Macaca fascicularis: one gene and its partner. The protein of the gene in region 1 interacts with the protein of each later gene in a pairwise test. Links are inferred from orthologs where the notes say so. Each region holds a gene or a part of one and is shown on either strand. Other genes may lie near its edges.

The links.
Region 2: the proteins of VAPA (region 1) and ADGRG7 interact in binary tests that used the Homo sapiens proteins (3 or more experiments, as listed by UniProt). The two-hybrid records come from large-scale screens. The link is inferred for Macaca fascicularis from reciprocal best matches to the Homo sapiens genes VAPA and ADGRG7.

Annotation. Positions count from the first base shown.
Region 1 is NC_088392.1:78,298,177-78,301,834, reverse strand, and holds part of VAPA (vesicle-associated membrane protein-associated protein A), read right to left. Parts: intron 2,240-3,658; coding exon 2,066-2,239; intron 1-2,065. UniProt on the Homo sapiens protein: Endoplasmic reticulum (ER)-anchored protein that mediates the formation of contact sites between the ER and endosomes via interaction with FFAT motif-containing proteins such as STARD3 or WDR44.
Region 2 is NC_088376.1:182,389,037-182,392,694, reverse strand, and holds part of ADGRG7 (adhesion G-protein coupled receptor G7), read left to right. Parts: intron 1-816; coding exon 817-929; intron 930-3,658. UniProt on the Homo sapiens protein: Orphan receptor.

The sequences.
Region 1 (3,658 bases):
AAATGCTAAAGGGTCTGAAATTCTGTAAGCCAGTGGGTCTCCAAGGTTTTTGTTTTATTTTTTTTGTTTTTTTGAGATTTGCTCTTATTGCCCAGGCTGGAGTGCAACAGTGTGATCTCGCTCACTGCAACCTCTGCCTCCCAGGTTCAAGTGATTCTCCTGCCTCAGCCTCCCAAGTAGCTGGGATTGCAGGCACCCGCCACCACACCCAGATAATTTTTGTACTTTTAATAGAGACAGGGGTTTCACCACGTTGGCCAGGCTGGTTTCGAACTCCTGACCTCAGGTGATCCACACACCTCGGCCTCCCAAAGTGCTGGGATTACAGGTGTGAGCCACCGTGCCCAGCACAGCTTTTTTGTTTTACTTTTCCAACAGCAGAATCATCTCTCAAATAAAATCTCATACAGAACATTAGCATACAAAGAGCAGAAACCAGGAATAAAGTCTCTCTCACTTCCCTGGTTCATTCTTCCTATTTTCCAGACCTGCCCCACCTGTCACTCCTACTGTTTACACTCTCCCCTCCATGCCAGAGGTAAACAGTGGCTTTTGAAAGAAAGCTATTGAGCACCCTAAGGAGCACATCTTTATCAAAGAACAGAACTATGGAAGTCATGGCAGATGAAGTAAAAGTAACCAACAAAATCCTTTAAAAGATCCATGGTGTGTAGGTGTGAAATAAAGATATTCTTCCCGCTATCCAGACAAGCACTTGGAAGCAGAGGGGTACCCCTCAAGGGGGTACTATGAAGTATCAAACATGAAGAGACACAAAAATTCACTTTAAAAAGCATTTCAGCAAAGGAGTTCACAGATCGACTTAAGATACAGTGTTCAGAGTGCAGTTCCTATATACACCTAACAAAAGGAATAATCAAATAACTCCCATCATTTAGCTTATTTTAGTTACATATATTTTTGTATCATCTACGTTGCTGCAAAGAGCTTCAGACAAAGCCTAAAGAGCAACATATAGGAATTCAGGTCTTGAAACAATTACTTGTCAAAGACAAGTATTATTCATAAATTTCACACATATTCAAATCGGTCCTCCTTCACCATCCATTTATTCAATCAAATATATGACTACTACACGCATGTACGGTGAATGCAGAGAGAAATCAAACACTGCCCCTGTCCCCAAGGAAATTACTGCCCACTAGAGGGAGAAAGGCCTCTAACAAGTAAGAGCAGTAGAATGCAATCGGCATAGTGGTGGCACAAAGCAGACAGGACAAATCGATTTTTTTTTCTTTTGGAGAGGGTCCCAGCAAACGCTATACTGAAAAATCAACAAGAATATAGTAGCAAGACATTAATATGTGTATGTGCTGTGTCGGGAGGGACAGGGTTCTGAGCCTTTCCAGTCACAGTGAAGAGCTGATACTAAAGCGAAAGAGGGGTGATAAACAGATGCTTCTCCAGCATACTCCAGCCCAACGCTGTCCCACGCCAATATGTGAGCTTCAAATGTGACCCCATATGTAACGTTAAATTTTCCAATAGTACATTTAAAAAGTAAAAAGAAATGTGTAAAATTCATTTTAATATATTCAATTCAACCCAATATACCCAAACTACTATTTCAGTATGTAACCATTAAAAAAAGAAAAATTTACCTTTTTCTGTACTAACTCTTCAACATCAGTATTTTACACTCAACAGCACAGCTCAATTTGAACAAATCCCATTTCAAGCGCTCAACAGTCCTAGGTGACTAATGGCTATGATGTGGGACAACACAATCCTAGTTCAGTGTGACTGGGGCACAAAATGGGAAGGACAGGAGAAACAAGAGCTGAAGCTGGCAATGCTGCAGGCCAGATCACAAATGATTAGAATGTGTGCTAAGGTAAGGAACTTGTGGCAATGAGAAACCACAGGAAGACTTTTAAGAGAGGAGTAGGGTGGGGAGCAAAGGTCAGGACATAATCAAATTGGGGAAAACAAGAAAGAACTGACCAAGGATAAATTTAAAAACTAATTGCTAAAATGGCCTAATAACACTCACATGTCCTATACCTTCATTTAAATCAACTTATTTTCAACCAACAGAACTTACTCTCAGGTGTCGATTTTCTTCTGACAGCTTCATCATTTCTCCCTGAAGTCTTTTACACTCTTCCATTAGTTTCCTTGTTTCAGTATCATTAAGTGAAACACTGTGTGGTTTTGGCATAGGTCCATCTTGTTTAGATGCATTCAGTGGAACGGTTTTGCTAGGTTCCATGTCATTCTGTATTACAAAGATATTGAGATTTTTTTTACCAAATCTTCTTACAGGTTTTAAACAAACAAAAACATAAATTCTACATCTTTGTTTATGAAAAACTCTTTAAAAGGCCTAAATCAGTACATGCCAGCAGTCAGATTAGTCTAAATAACGAGCCCACTCCCTCTATTCCCATAACCGCTGGCATGTACGTCTACCATAGCACTTTATTATGTATCTTAATAATTATTGTTCAAGTTCTTTCCTATAACACTTCAAAGGCTGGGAAAGCAAGAGCCATCTCTCTTTGTATTTACCCCTAAAACCAGCACTTTGGTCAAGAGTAGTTATTCAATCCAAGTATGCTGAATGACTGACGTCAACAAAATCCAAATATGAAGGTCATTTTCCATGCTCTGGTTCTGCAATTCAAATAAGGTTCTGGGGCGTAGGGGGATATTATTGCAATCATTCCAATAAAATTAGAAACTACCTAAGAAAAAACATGCCAAAAAAGCTAACTTCTATTATCATCTTAGTAATGCTGTTTGCTTTAATCCACGTGATTCAACATCACAGTAAAAATTAGCATGCTCTGAAGACTATGAGCCCCAAAATCTTAATCCTAACCAACACTGAACCATTTGAAGTTAGTGTTGAAGGCCTGGAGATAAATATCTATGACAGCATCTACATATTCTTCAGCCTGTGGTCTAAAGTACCCCAACATCCTTCACTCTAACAGCATTTATGTCACCACACATAGTAGCAGTATTAGAGTAACAAGTTTTTTCATTTTAATTAAATTTTTACTTGCTTTAAAATAATTTTAGAAAAAATCTGCTTTTTCAGCTATAAACTGCTAACAAAGACATTTACAAAATCAACTTTATGGCATTCCACAATACTCATTTTATAAGATTTATCAGAGGCTGCACACCTAACACACCATCCCAGCTGCCAAATTTATATTAAGTATAAACAGATTGTTTGCTCAAAGGGCAAAACTTGTTCTTCTTATGAAGGGGATGTGATTTGATTACTATGCCTAAATCCATGTAAAATCTATTTAAAAATGAAAATTTATAATGAGGTTCTAATCAACAACAGTATGTATTTGACCTGTCGGCAGATTCTTCCATTTTTCTTCAAGCTTCCCAGTTAAGAAAGGTTTAAATTAAAGAAGCATACTTCAATTCTTTCTCTGAGTTTTTCTCTTGCCAGCTTTTTTGTTCTTCACCCCAATCTCTTCCACCCCAATCTAATAATAGCCACCTCTACTATTAAAACACTGCTTCAGATATATCTTACCCTGCCAATACATTTTCCTATTATTTTCCTTAATAGTAGTTAGAACTCATTTCAAAATGATTTTCAGTGTGGTCAAATTCTATCCTAACACAAATCCAACTTCTGATAATGAAGTTGGCACACTGACTTCCT
Region 2 (3,658 bases), on another chromosome or scaffold:
ACATACTCATATGGTATGTATTTTCATACATATACACACACACACACACAAACATGTTGAGAGATATATAAATATATCACACAAAAATAAGACTTCCTTTAAAAAATTAACAGGGTATGAGCATCTTTCCATATTTATGAAGATATTTCTGCAACTTTATTTTTAGTGCATCAACTTAGATATACTTAGAGTCCAGTTACACATAAAAATAATGTCATGAATAAGTGAGGCAACTTTTGACAATTTAGATCTAATTCAAACAATTTTGATTTTAGACATCAAGGAAGAGTATAAATAGTTGACTTGTGAACAACATGAGACTGTATGGGTCCACTTAATATGTGGATTTTTTTCAATAACAAAGTCTGCCCTCCACATTGGCCCTCCACATTCTGCATCCACAAGGAAACATAGATGGAAAATAACATGGTATTGTCAGAGTGTAAAACTGGTATATGGAGGCCAGCTTTTCATATCAGCAGGTTCCACAGGACCAACTGCAGGACTTGAATATGCACGGCTTTTGGCATCTACAAGTTGTTCTGAGACACTCCCCCCGCAAATACCAAGGCATGACTGTATATTTTTCCCTAACTGAATGAGTTAGATAATTATTCTCAAGCCTGTACTTCAGGTAAACTGCTTAGCAATAAGGGGTTGATGTATTTCACTGTTAAATATATCAAGAGCTTTACAAAAGGAAGATATGTCTGGCAACTGTCTGGTTATTTTGACCCATGTAACTCTGTGATGTTGACTTTCATTAACATTTCAGGGATGATTATTTAAAAATATGAGTCTTAACTTGTTTTTCAGACTTTCAAAAAGGATTATCAGTATCCCGAATCACTTGACGTATTCTCCAATGTTGGATGTGCACTGTCTATTACTGGTCTGGCTCTCACAATTGTATTTCAGATTGTCACCAGGTAAGAGCAGAAGCAGGCTCTTTTCAGAAAAGAAATTGCTATCTTGATATAATTTACTTTGAAAATTCTCATAAGAATGTAGTGTCTTTGAACTAGACGAGAACTCAGAGATGTACTTATTTTATAGAGGAGGACATTCAGGCCTGGAAAGGCTAAGAAATACACACAAATAAATATATAATTACAAATTGTGGCAAGTGCCTTGAAAGAAAATTATATGCCACTTATTTACAAGTTTGTCATGTAAAATTAATGTGGTCCTGCAGCTCATGAATGCTATAATTCCTTAGTGTTGAATAGAACCATGCCTATCAATTTGTATTTGTAAAGGAAAGAGACATTGCAAATAGCATTTTTTTAAAAAAGTAATTTAAAAAATATACCGAGCTTTCAAATGGTGAAATGTTTTCCAAAAATATATGGTTTTCAAATGATGAAAGTTTTTGAATCCCATACCTTAAAGTCTAATTTTAAATAATGACCTATAAACAAATACTTCTCTCCACCTTGACCCCTTCATTTGAGGTCCAATTTTGTATCCCATTCATTAGGTTTTGTCACATGCTACATTTTTTAACTGCCTGTGGTCTTTTAGAAGCTCGTTCATTTATTAATTTACTCTGTTTACTGTGTGTTTCCTCTGTCAACTCCACATTTCATGTTTGTTTGGTCTTTCATGACACTGAAATTTTTCAAGCATCCAGGCCATTTACTTTGAAAAATGTTCCACAGTGAAGATTTGTCTGAAATTTTCTTCATGAAGAGATGCAGGTTAATTATTTTTGGTGGGAATACTGCAATCATGGATTTTTTTTTAGTGTGACACGACAAGAAATGCATATCAGTGTGTCTCATTGTTGTAGGCTGTAAGTTTGATTCCTCGTTTAAAGTGATGTCTGACAGATTTCCACATTTTTTCCCTGTGTAAATAATAGGTGACTCATGGGGTGCCACTTTGAGGCTGCATGATATCCTGTTTCCCAAAAATCTTTTACTTAATGATCTTGTTACTCATCCTTACTGGAACAAATTATTACATTAGTAGTTGAAAAATAGTGATCCTCTAGTCTATCATTCTTTCTATATTTGTTTGCTATACTCTTTTGCAAAAAGCATACTTCCCAGTGTAGCCAGAGGGAGCCACTTCATGTTGTTTTGTCATGTCTCAGTCTTTAGTCACTTCCTTATTTCAATCACAGCAAAATGATCATCTTTCACTTTCTGTGCCTCATACCTGAACCAGCCATTTCTCCGAAGAGCCAGAATTGTTTTCGATTCCTTTTTTTCCCCCTTTTCACATTAAATGAGTCTTTTGCCATTCATTTAAAAGTTTTACAGTGAGTGCTTATGTTGTAAGGAGCTGAATACAAACCTATGAACAGACAGATAATCTCCTATCTCTCATGAAATATACACTTTTTGGGGGGAGAGGTAAGACATTATAAAAATATATACACAACTGAATATACAGTTACAAATGGTGGTAAGTGCCTTGAAGGAAAATTACATACCATGTAATTACATGTTTGTCATGTAAAATTAAATGCCTATTAAATTTGTCTCATTATTTGTATTTCTACCATCACCAGAGTTGTATTGACGATTATTTGGCCCCATAAGTATGAGTCATAGTTGCTGCATAACCAGTTTCTTTGCCCAAACCTCACTCTTTTCATTTGTCATCAGATTTCTTTACTCCTTCATCAATACATTTTCTAGCACAATTATGCAACCATAGATGGCACTAAAATTCATCAGGAAACAAAAATAAAAATAAACGCCAGGCATGGAGGTTCACACCTGTAATTCTAGCACTTTGGGAGGCCAAGGCAGGAGGGATTGCTTGAGCCCAGGAGTTTGAGACCAGCCTGGGCAATACAGCAAGATCACATCTCAAACAAGGCAATACAGCAAGATCACATCTCAAACAAATTTTTTCAAAAAAGAGAAAAAACAAAACAAAAATAAAGACAAAATTTTATTGACTTTAAAATCCTGAATTATAAAATTTTCTTTGTTCTTGGACAGGTTCCCATATAATAATAATGCACAGAATACAGATAGTCCCCTACTGACCATGGTTCAACTTACGATTTTTCAGCTTTAAGATGGTGCAAAAGTGATAGCATTCAGGACGTTTCTTGATTTATGATAGGGTTATGTCCCAATAAACCCATTGTAAACTGAAAATATGGTAAGTTGAAATGATGTTTTTAGTTTTCAATGGATTTATTGGGATGCAATCTCATTGTAAGTTGAGGAGCATCTATACAGTAATAATGTATAAGAAAGGCCAGGCTATTTGAAAATCACCTCTTCTTCCTGTGGATTATAATTGATAAAATTAGATAAAAACTAGAATCTAATCTTACTTTTATATAAAAAGATTCTTTTGAGTACTTTTTGCAGTTCTGGTCATTAAACCTCTCAATAGATTTAGTGAAATTTTGAATTGTCCCGAAATCTCAACTAAAATGTCAAGCAGACGGACTGAGTGCTGTTTGAATGAAAGCTTTTTTATTCAGTGTGGGAATCCAAAGATCAAGAGGGGTCATGATGAAACATCATAAAAACATAAAGAATATATAATGGGCAAATAGACTTCATCAAATTATGAGTTATTAAGAATAAAGAGGTACTTGAAGGTTAGAACTTAGGCATAATAATAAACCTGGGAAATGGTATTCCAAGAGGTCTTGCAGTCTGAAAAATCCAGAAGGCTTTAAATG